Callithrix jacchus: one gene and its partners. The protein of the gene in region 1 purifies or fractionates together with the protein of each later gene. This does not show direct contact. Links are inferred from orthologs where the notes say so. Each region holds a gene or a part of one and is shown on either strand. Other genes may lie near its edges.

Region 1 (3,747 bases):
TTAAACTCCTGACCTCAGGTGGTCTGCCCGCCTTGGCCTCCCAAAGTGCTGGGATTACACTCGTGAGCCACCACGCCCAGCCAAAGTGTATCTCTTAATAGCTATTCCTAATTTAATCTTTAAAAATGAATGGTTTTCATTTTCAAAGCTCCCAAACATAATCAAAAGTTTACTTTGTATCTTCTACGCCCTCTACTGCCCAGTTTTCACACAGCAGCTAATAAGCGCTGTTTTAAAACAGCAAGATCTCATCACATCCTTACCCAAATCCCTCCCATGGTTTTCCACCACATCCAAAATGAAATTTAAAAATGCCTTTCCCTGGCTTACAAAGCCTGAAATCAAAGCCTAAAACCTTTAGGCTTTAAATTCTGATTTCATTGTTCTGGGCACAAGGTCTTCCTAAAGCTCTCCAGGTGACTCCAGTTGAGAATCATCGTCTTAGGGATCTGGCCTGTGCTAACTTCCCCGACTTCATTCTCTCGATCCTGGGCCCCATGCTCTTCCCCACCAAGCACACACAGTCCAGCCTCTAAATCTTCACCACGCGCTGTTCCCACTCACTGCCCGGTTCCTGCAGACATGTGCACGGCTCACTCGCTCCTTCACTGCATTCTGGTCTCTGATGAAATGTTAGTTCCTCAGAAGTGCCTACTTTGGCCACCGTACCCTTACCCTGATTTATTTCCCTTCAAATCAGCTATCACATGTGGCACTTGTAATATTATTAACACCTCCTTAACCTGATTTATTTCCCTTCAAATCAATTATCCCACGTGGCATTTGTAATATTATTAACACCTGCCTCCCCCACTGGGCTCAAGCTACAAATGGGCAGATTTTTGTTTCGTCAGCACCACATCCCCAGAGCCCTGCACAACACCTGGCACAAAGTATGGACTCAATCAATGTTAAATGAGCGCCACCTGCTGGTGATTCTTAAACCGCGGGCCGGGCCGCAAGGAGAAAGCATCCTCTTTGTGTTCAGAAGGTAGGTGGGTGATCCATCAGATCACCAAGGAAGTGCTGATCACTCCCCACAAGGATCCCATATGGAGAGATCACCAATGTTATTGCCACTCTCAACCCTAGTGCATAAGGAAGGTTCGCTGTATTATCTTTATGTCTTACAGATGAACTTCATCGCCGGGCACCGCGGCTCATGCCTATAATCCCAGCACTTTGGGAGACCCGGCAGGTGGAGAGTTTGAGACCAGGAGTTCAAGATCAGGCTGGCCAACAGAGTAAAACCCTGTCTCTACTAAAAATACAAAAAACTGCCTAAGCGTGGTGGCACGTGCCTGTAATCCCAGCTACCCGGGAGGCTGAGGCACAAGAATCAACTGAACCCAAGAGGTGGAGGCTGCGGTGAGCAGAGACGGTACCACTACACTCCAGCCTGGGTGACAGAGACAGATTCTGTCTCAAAACCAAAGAAATGCTGGGCCAGGCATGGTGGCTTACGCCTGAATCCCAGCACTTTGGGAGGCTGAGGCAGGCAGATCATGAAGTCAGGAGTTCAAGACCAGACTGACCATCATGGTGAAACCCCATCTCTACTAAAAATACAAAAATTAGCCAGGTGTGGTCGCACGTGCCTGTAATCCCAGCTACCAAGGGGGCTGAGGCAGGAGAATCACTTGAACCCGGGAGGAGGAGGTTGCAGTGAGCCAGCCGAGATCGCGACACTGCACTCCAGCCTGGCAATGGAGCAAGACTCAAAAAAAGAGTCCTAGGAAGTGCTGGCATGTGCACGGGGCACAGTGGGCATGCGTGTAAACTTTCAATCCCAGATACTCACAACATCTCAACCCATTTCAGGTCCTCGAGCTTTTGGGGGAAAATGTACCAAAAGTACCCACTCCTCCGAGAAAACACATGTTCACGCAAACTTTTCCGGTAAGTTTTTTTTGGGGGGGGGAGAGAGCAAGGGGAGTCTACAAACCCCCCTGATTTAAAATCTGCTCTCCTTCCGCAGCTTTCTGTATCTCAAAAACAGCAATTCCATCGTTCCAGTTACACACCCCCAAACCCTTGGTTATCCTTGACTTTGCTCACATACCCACATACAATCTGTTGGTTCTGTCTTCAAAAGCATGTAAAACTGTCAGCACATCTGCGGCTCCCATCCTGGTCCACCACACCATCTCCTAGCTTACGGCAACGAACTTCCCACTGAGGTGCCTGCTTCCACATTTGCCACCCTGAAGTCTCACACATCGAGGCAACAAGAATCCCTTTTAAAAATGTCAGACTGGCCGGGCGCGGTGGCTCAAGCCTGTAATCCCAGCACTTTGGAAGGCCGAGGTGGGTGGATCACGAGGTCAACAGATCGAGACCATCCTGGTCAACATGGTGAAACCCCGTCTCTACTAAAAATACAAAAAAAAAAAAAATTAGCTGGGCATGGTGGCGCATGCCTGTAATCCCAGCTACTCAGGAGGCTGAGGCAGGAGAATTGCCTGAACCCAGGAGTCGGAGGTTGCGGTGAGCCGAGATCACGCCATTGCACTCCAGCCTGGGTAACAAGAGCGAAACTCCGTCTCAGAAAAAAAAAAAAAAAAAATGTCAGACTGCACCGTGCCCCTGCTCAAAATCTCCCCAAGAGTTCTTCTCTCACTCAGACTAAAAATCCTTACTAAAGAGCTAACACCTGATAACTTCCACAGCTTCACATTCTACCATGCAATGAAGGAAAGATGGAAGAAGGGGTATCCTCCATTCCTGAGGGAATCACAGACCAGGATGCCTGCAGGCAAGCCAGAATCTCAGTAGGAGATACCTGACCTAGCATCCCCTCCCCTACTTCATCAGGAGATCCCCAAACGCGAAAGAGAAAGGGAGCTTTAGGAGAAGGGCACGGATCCACACATCTGCCAAATGACCCCCATCTCTCTACACACACACACGAGAAAGAAAGCCTGTACTAGCAAAACAGACCCCTTGGGCCACGGTGGAAAATTCTCCGAACTCGGTGAAGCAAGTTCTCACACAAACGAGTGGGAGTTGGGCAGGTGAGGAGATGCAGGAAGCACTTAAGACACCCCGAAGAGGGATCCTAATTTTGTTCTCTTTAAGAGAGATAAAGGTAACAATTAGAGCCAATACTAGTATATGTCAAGCACTGTGCTTTTTTTTTTTTTTTTAACGTCGCTTAATCCTAACTGCCGCCATTTTATTGATGAGAAAACTGAGGCTCAGAGACGTAAAGCCACTTGCCCAAGGTAACACAGCAGGCTAAGAAGCTGACCCTGAACTGAAACACTGAAATGAGGCCCTTCTGCTGTTAAAGCCAGGACGCTCATCGTTCCACCATGAAGGGAGTGGGTTCAGCAAAAATCTAGCGGAAAATCGAAAGAATAAAACTACTTATGTCCTGTGACAACCACCCAACCCACCACCCCGGTCTAATACCGAGCTTGTGAAGTCTCTCCGCGGAGGTGGAAATCTTAGGCCCCACATCTCCACTCCATCCCCGGGGATCCGCCCCCCTGTAAGTGCAGAAGGCGGGAAAGTGAGCCAGAGAGCGCCGCACACGGCCAAGCGGGGAGTCCTCATCCACTCCAGCCCACTCGGAGAAGCTGGGTTGGGGGATAAGAGGGGGGCGGGTGGTGGTGGTGGTGGTGGTGGTGGTGGTGGTGGTGGTGATGGCAGTGATAGAGTAGTCAAATAGAGGCTTCCCACACCCCGCTCCGGGACCCAAGGTCAGGAACCCTCCATTTCCAACCCAAGCTTGATTCCCAAAAC
Region 2 (3,747 bases), on another chromosome or scaffold:
GCCCAGCTGTGCTTTACAAGCTGACAGGTCGGTCAAACCCTTCACCAGATTGTGGAAGTGCAGACGAACTCCTAAGAGGAGGGCAGGACTATAAGCAACAAAGGGCTCTGAGCTAGCTTCTGCACCCATGGGAACCAGCCAAGCACAAGGCCTTCCCAGAAGTAACAAATATCCGAGTTTCTGGAACCCCCCTCCCCCCAAACGCCAAGGTTACCAGGAATATAAGATGATGGTCTCACCTCGCAGGATCTCAGCTATCACGCCTCCAGTCTGGCAGTTGTACCCTAACTCCTCCTGTATTGCAGCACCAATCTTGGGATCCCCAACTCCCAAGAGTACTTTCTTCTTTTTGGACGGCAGGTAGGTCTCCAAGAGCAGGCGGAGGTCCTCATGAACAACCCCTCAAGGCAAAAAACACAGTTCCCACTAACAGGCTAAAGGATGATCAATTGTAACATCCCCTCAGCCGATACCCTGGTCCTGCCACCTAGAAACTCCCCATCAGGCACTGCTCAGAGACATGGAGACATCAGTGATTGCACTCAGGGGATTGACAGATTTGATTACCAAGTCATCACTGCAAAGCCTGGCCCAGCCATGGGAACAACTGTACTCAGGTCTGATAGCACAAGTGTGCAATAAATAATAGCTTGTAACACAACCTCAAGTATTTAGTATTAGAATTTGCCTACTGGAACCAAACCTTTTTTCCTTAGCCTGTGTTTATCCAACTGCCCTTTCCAATCAAATAGAAAGCAGAGAACCACACACTTCATTGTGTCTAGGTAAACTCGGGTCCCAGATAAAGTGTTAAACCAACCTCCTTTAAGAATTATTTGTCAGCCGGGCACGGTGGTTCACACCCTTAATCCTAGCACTTTGGGAAGAGGGCGGATCACCTGAGGTCAGGAGTTCAAAACTGGCTGGCCAAAATTGTGAAATTCCCTCCCTACTAATACAAAAATTGGCTGGGCATGGTGGTGTGCTCCTGTAATTCCAGCCATTCAGGAGGCCGAGGCAGGACAATGGCTTGAACTCAGAGGCAGAGGGTGCCCTCAGCCGAGATCGCACCACTGCACTCCCGCCTGAGCGACAGACGTCCGGAGGGGGCAGGGCGGGAAGATGGAGAGGGCCGGGCGCACTGCGTGGTGGTTCACGCCTAGCACTTTGGGAGGCAGAGGTGGGTGGCTCACGTGAGGTCAGGAATTGGAGACCAACCTGGCCAACATGGCAAAACCCTGCCTCTGCTAAAAACCCAAAAAACTGTCCAGGCGTGGTGGCATAGGCCTGTAATCCCAGTTACCCGGGAGGCGGAGGTAAGCACAAGCACAAGGCCTTCCCAGAAGTAACAAATATCTTTTATATTCCTGGTAACCTTGCATTGAGTCCAGATCGCGCCTCTGCACTCCAGCGTGGGCGAGAAAGACTCTGTCTCAAAAGAAAAAAAAAAAAAAATCACAGTGCCCACAAGGAAACGTAACACATATCCTACATCGCCTGCTTTAAATGGTTTAGTCTATTACAGTTTCCAGACCTTGAGCTCTGTAAAGACCATGATTTCCAATTACATATTGTATGTTTCAAACACTGCCTCATATCTATCATACTTGGAACTAGCAAACGACAGCAAATACTATCACATGCCGCCCGACAGGATACCGGAAGGAACCACATCTCCCTGAGACACTTGGCGGTGGTCGACTCACCTTCAGACACGGCATTGGCATTTTCCAAGGCAACCTGGGACGAGGAAAAGGGACAAAAGGCCACCAGACGAACGACATTGTGGAATTTGCCCAGGTTGAGCACGGACTCCTCCACCTGGGGGGATAAGGAGGCTGAGTAGTTTCCTCCCTCCCTCCTGCCTCTGCGGCGCAGTAAGTAAAGCAGCGGCTCTCAATCTTGGAAGCTCTTTAAATAGGCTGATACCGGGGCCCCACATCCTAGCTTCTGCTTTAATCGGTCCGGGGCGGAGTCCAGGAGGCTTATTTCAAACCGCTAGAGCGATCCTACCCATGAGTCAAGGTAAAGACCCCCGGCTCTAGAGTTTTCCAGGCCCGTCCCCTCTTCCCCCACCGAACCGCGCGGAGACCACGTGGGAGCGCGCGGTGCATGCTGGGACCTGTGCGGTGAGGGTCGGCGGGGACACCGGAGGATCCCACGTATCTCACCCACCTGCGGCTGCAGCAGACTGATCTCCTCCACTTCCTTCAGCGCCAGCAGCGCGTAGCCGACTGCATGCTCAAACAGCACGTGCAACAGCACCTGCAACCGGGGCCGCGGCGCGAGCGTCAGCGCAACCTCCGTGTTTGCCAGAACCCGTTCCCAAGGAAAGCGCAGACCCAGGCCCAGCCTCTGGCTCTGGCCCTGGCTCGAACCCAGGCCCAAACCCCCACCTACACGTCGTCCATGCCCCGCAACCACTCCTCACCATGGCGCCCGCTCCCGGCTCAGCTCGCAATGCGGCTAGCGCGCTGCGGCGCGCGGAACCAGACTCTAGAGGCCACGCCCGCGTCCGGCGGGCCAATCGGAGATCAGGGACGGTACCATCTCCGGCCTTCCGAGGGGCCGCCCGGGATGGTATCGCCCGGAGCGCGGGCGAGGTGGCACCTAGCGCGGGCGAGCAGGCGTTTCCCGGCCTCTGCAGCTGCGCGGGCAGGCGCGGTTGCCGGGGACGCGCGGCCCCGGGTGGGGCCTTGCAGGCCGTGCAATGACTTGGAAAGGCGCTTTCGGGATAATAGTCCAGTTCCTGATGTTCTCCTCATTTAAGCTTCCCGTCATAAAAGTTGCGGGCAGCAGAGCTGGACGAAGTTAGGGCGGGAGGCTCCGCGTGGGGCGTGGTGACCATCCCAGACCGGCACCGCTGCCTAACCGGCTTCCTGCTGCGCCCGTAGCCTCGGGCCTTAGACCCTGCGCCCCTCGTCCCTGGGACCCATCAGTTCCCGTCCCTTACTCGGGGACGAGCCTCCACGGCGCCGGGTGGGCCGCGCGTCCTTTCTTCTCCCACGGTACAGGAGTAGTACCTGGCGCGCTCTGGCGCAGATCCTGCTGGGAAAGTGGCTCGCGCAGTTTTCTTCGTACTCTTAATTTTATTTATCATTTTAAAAAATGACGGTGACAGGCAGTAACGTGCGAAAGATGCTCCAACGTCTTCCTAGGCCAGTTTCTTGTTCCTTTTCTGCACGGGACCCAGCTCCTTTTGCCTGGCCACGTGTTGCTCTTCCGCTTGAGCAGCCCTGAATTCTGAGCGCCGGTGAGCGCCGAGATAATCGGAGCTGCTTCCCTGTCCTCGAGGGCGTCTTTGGGGCGCTCAGGCGACTATTTAGAAATGGGTTTTGCTTTAACAATTAATATTAACGTTATAAATCCAAAACCTAGTTACACTTAAGTAGTATATCCGCTGGTACATTTTAAAGTCATTCTAAGGAAATTTTATTTTTGAGACGGTTTTGCTCTTGTCGTCCAAGCTGGAGTGCAATGGCACCATCTCGGCTCACTACAATCTCGTTCTCCCGAGTTCAAGCGATTCTCCTGCTTCAACCTCCCGAATAGCTGAGATTACAGGTGCCCATCACCACGCCCGGCTAATTTTTGCATTTTTAGTGGAGATGGGATTGTTTCACCATGTTGGCCAGGCTGGTCTCGAACTCCAGACCTCAGGTGATCGACCCGCCTCGGCCTCCCAAAGTGCAGGGATTATAGGCATGAGCCCCTGCGCCTGGCCTCTAAGGGGATTTTTAAAAATAA
Region 3 (3,747 bases), on another chromosome or scaffold:
AGCTACTCAGGAGGCGGAGGCAGGAGAATTGCTTGAACCCAGGAGGCAGAGGTTGCAGTGAGCCGAGATCCTGCCACTGCACTCCAGCCTGTATGACAGAGCAAGACTCCATGGGGTAGGGAGAAAGCTGCATATTGTAGGACTCTGTTTATATGAAATGACCAAAAGAGGCAATCTATAGAGAAAGTAGATTAGTGATTGCCTGCAGTGGCTAGATGGAGGAATCAGGAGTGACTGCTAATGGTATTCTTTGGAGATGACAATAATGTTCTAGAATTAGTTAGTGGTATCTGATGCATAATTTTATGAGGACTAAGAAACAATTTAATAAGCTTCAATAAATGGGTAAATTTTATGGTATATAAATTAAATCTCATTAAAGCTGTCACTTAAAAAAATAATTAAAGGCTGGGTGAGGTGGCTCACACCTGTAATCCCAGCACTTTGGGAGGCCAAGGTGGGCGGATCATGAGGTCAGGAGATCAAGACCATTCTGACCAACGTGGCAAAACCCTGTCTCTACTAAAAATACAAAACTAGCTGGGTGTGGTGGCGCATGCCTGTAATCCCAACTAACTCAGGAGGCTGAGGCAGGAGAATCGCTTGAACCTGGGAGGCAGAGGGTGCATTGAGCTGAGATCATGCCATTGCACTCCAGCCTGGGCAACAGGAACCAAACTCCTCTCAAAAAAAAAAAGTTATATATACATCATAAGGTCTATTATAAAATAATTCAATTTTAAAAACCTGGAAGATACTAAGTGTTTATCTGTGTAATAAGATTATGGATGACTATAATGCAAAAAAATTGTAAACACTTCAACAGTTAGCTTAGAAGGTGGGAGAGCTGCCTTAGGTCACAAACTCCCAACCTCTGATGGCAGCCCTGACTACAGTGTAACCCCATTCTGTTACACAGAAGTTACATGTTGCATTTTCACCCACTCTGGACATTAAGAGACCAGGGTCCTACTTTACTGGCGCTGTAAACCAGAGATCAATCTGATTCTGCCAGTACTTTTTTGTGTTCATTTTTGTCTCCTTAGTAATCAGCCCACAGCAAATTTGTGTTCAGTGAATCAACTATCTGGAACTTATAAATTTGTCCAAATGAATCCTTCACTCGCTTGAAAACCATTTATCAAAGAATCCACACCTGAACTCAAGGCTCTTCTGGGGATGATCCACGACGGGTCTTGCAGGGTAATGGAGTTGGTGCCCTGGAATCCCCAGACCAGTACTTACGTTTCCCCAGCAACTTTCTGCACTAATTTAGCTTCTGTCCCATTCAGTTCCAGCTCCCAACCTCCAGACATCTTAGGGAGGGTTTTATGCTTCTGGATTTTTCTTTCCTCCTTAATTTCATCACTCAGGAAATCAACAAAAGCTTTGTCTCCTAGAAATCCAGATACATTAAAAGGGAAGCCAGTTAGTCTAAAACATAAAATTATTACCCAAGTTATTGTAGCCAGAAATCTGGCCTGTTTCTAATCTCTGCTATTATGCTTACTCTGGAAGCCTCAGTTTCCTTATCTGTAAAAATAACACAATAGTATTGCGAAGCTAAGGACGTCCAACAGCGAACGCATTGCCACCTTCTGTTGTAAAGCAGAAGAACTTCCAGGCATCCTCTTCCACTGCCAAACGATTTAACTATGCTATTTTCAATCACGACCTTGGGCTTTCCCAAAGGTCCACTTTTGAGAGACTAAAGCTAAGGATAGAGGTACCCTCTAGTATTTATCTACCCCGTTCCAACAGAAAATGAAACTTGTGGAAAGGCGAGGTGGGGAAATATGATCACACGTGGGTTTAACCCGCTGGTTGCCAATCAATGGAATAATGTCCCAGATCTCGGAGGTCGGTTGCAGGCGCCACTCCTGGTCTACGTTTTTCTTTCGTAGACCGCAAACCCCAACAACAGCCCTGGCCCACGAGCATGAACCTCACCTTCGGTGTGCAGCGCGCCGCAGCCACAGCCGCAGGCGCAGGGCCCGCGAGGCCGCAGGAGGCCCGGCCGCTGCTCGGAACCTGCGCGCACGCTGAGCAGCCCGAAGGGCCGGGCGCAGAGCTGGGGCGCCGGCTGCAGGAGCTGCCGGAATGGCGAAGCAGGCGAGGCGGGAGCCGCGGCGCGGAGGCCGGCAACGGAGGAGCCCAGTACACGGGGCACGCAGCGTAGCAGAGGCAGCATCGCGGAGAGGACTAGGAACACGTGCAGACGCAAAGGACTACCCAACTCTAGGCTCCCCGCGACCTAGCCCGCTGCCGGAAGCCCCGCCCCGTCAGGAAGCGCTTCCCGCGCCGGCGCTCTGAAGACCTAAGGCCAGTGGGAGGAATCGCGCCCTCTGCTGGAGACCTCCGGTATAGCCCGGGAAGCCTCGAATTTTTTCCGCGAGCTTTCTTGCTGCGTTAGCCTGAGGCCGCTGTCCGAAGCTGTTTAATTCCCTTCGGTGGCTGCTTAGACATTTTCCATCTACTGGTCTCAAGCCACACCGTTTTTGGGCTGCGTGGAATGCACTCTTGTCTCCCCTCAGCTCTTACCAGACCCTTACACGGTCACTTTCCTCTAGGAGGCTGTGGTGTTTCTGTGTGTGTGTGTACAGGTTTTCATCCACAGTTCCTGGCTGTGGTGTTACAGTGTGTGTGTGTGTGTGTGTGTGTAGGTTTTCATCCATAGTTCCTGGGAGGCTGTGGTGTCACGGTGTGTGTATAGGTTTTCATCCAGTGTGTGTGTGTGTGTGTAGGTTTTCATCCACAGTTCCTGGGAGGCTGTGGTGTCACGGTGTGTGTATAGGTTTTCATCCAGTGTGTGTGTGTGTGTGTGTATAGGTTTTCATCCACTGTGTGTGTGTGTGTGTGTGTGTATAGGTTTTCATCCACAGTTCCTGGCTCTTAACTCTCACAGCCCTTGTTACAGTGTTCTGTGATAATGTTGGGTGTGTTAGGCCTCAGAGAATAGAATCTCTCTCCCCTCCTCCTCCCCTTTCACAGGCCCCATAGCGGGACTCTCATCTCCCCCCACATTTCTGATTGTGGGTCTTAAGTCCCTCCCCAGAGAAGGTCCCACCCTATACCTTGGGGAAAGAGATGCTGAAGTTTGGAAGCTTCCATAAAAACCCAAGAGGACAGGGTTTGGAGAGCCTCTGAGAGCTAAACACTTGGAGGTTCCTGGAGGGCTGTAGCCCTGGGAGGGGAGCTCATCTCCTTATCCGCATCCTCGGTCATATCCTTTACATTAAACCAGTAAATGTGTTTCCCTGAGTTCTGTGAGAGGCTCAAGTAAATTCATATAACCCAAAGAGGGGGTTCAGATTTAGATTAAGAACCAAGAATCCCACCTTCTCAGGATACACAGGACATATAAGCTACCAAGAAGGTATGGCTTACTAACTCATGATAAGACTAACACTTAATATCTTCTGAACACTCCTGAGTCACAGGACACCTTTATAAGAAAAGAAAAGCTATTTTCTAAACAATTTTCAATGAATAACGGAAAGGAGATTCAGAAAACGAGCCACACACATCATGTAAGATTAGTTTTTAATGGATTTGATCATCGGGTGCAAACTTGAGCATTATGTACAAGAGCTTTCTGTAGTTATTTCTACACAAACAAAAGCCTGAACCTACTTGATTTTTTTCCTCCTCCCTCTAGTTACCAAGGAATGCTATCTTAGATGCATGGCCTATTATCACACTGGTCTTTAAAAAAAAAAAAAAAATGCATGGCCACAGTTCCAGGCA

The links.
Region 2: the proteins of FBL (region 1) and NOP56 purify together in Homo sapiens (affinity purification with mass spectrometry; 6 studies listed by BioGRID and IntAct, counting the BioPlex papers as one, with this or other methods). This does not show direct contact. The link is inferred for Callithrix jacchus from reciprocal best matches to the Homo sapiens genes FBL and NOP56.
Region 3: the proteins of FBL (region 1) and C1QBP purify together in Homo sapiens (affinity purification with mass spectrometry; 4 studies listed by BioGRID and IntAct, counting the BioPlex papers as one, with this or other methods). This does not show direct contact. The link is inferred for Callithrix jacchus from reciprocal best matches to the Homo sapiens genes FBL and C1QBP.

The regions. Positions count from the first base shown.
Region 1 is NC_133523.1:35,086,392-35,090,138, reverse strand, and holds the start of FBL (rRNA 2'-O-methyltransferase fibrillarin), read right to left. Parts: upstream 2,373-3,747; 5' UTR 2,148-2,372; coding exon 2,063-2,147; intron 1-2,062.
Region 2 is NC_133506.1:10,184,001-10,187,747, reverse strand, and holds the start of NOP56 (nucleolar protein 56), read right to left. Parts: upstream 2,463-3,747; 5' UTR 2,435-2,462; coding exon 2,432-2,434; intron 2,266-2,431; coding exon 2,176-2,265; intron 1,822-2,175; coding exon 1,707-1,821; intron 584-1,706; exon of another isoform or gene 509-583; intron 402-508; coding exon 240-401; intron 72-239; coding exon 1-71. UniProt on the Homo sapiens protein: Involved in the early to middle stages of 60S ribosomal subunit biogenesis. Required for the biogenesis of box C/D snoRNAs such U3, U8 and U14 snoRNAs. Part of the small subunit (SSU) processome, first precursor of the small eukaryotic ribosomal subunit.
Region 3 is NC_133506.1:106,968,683-106,972,429, forward strand, and holds the start of C1QBP (complement component 1 Q subcomponent-binding protein, mitochondrial), read right to left. Parts: upstream 2,285-3,747; 5' UTR 2,192-2,284; coding exon 1,951-2,191; intron 1,397-1,950; coding exon 1,246-1,396; intron 1-1,245.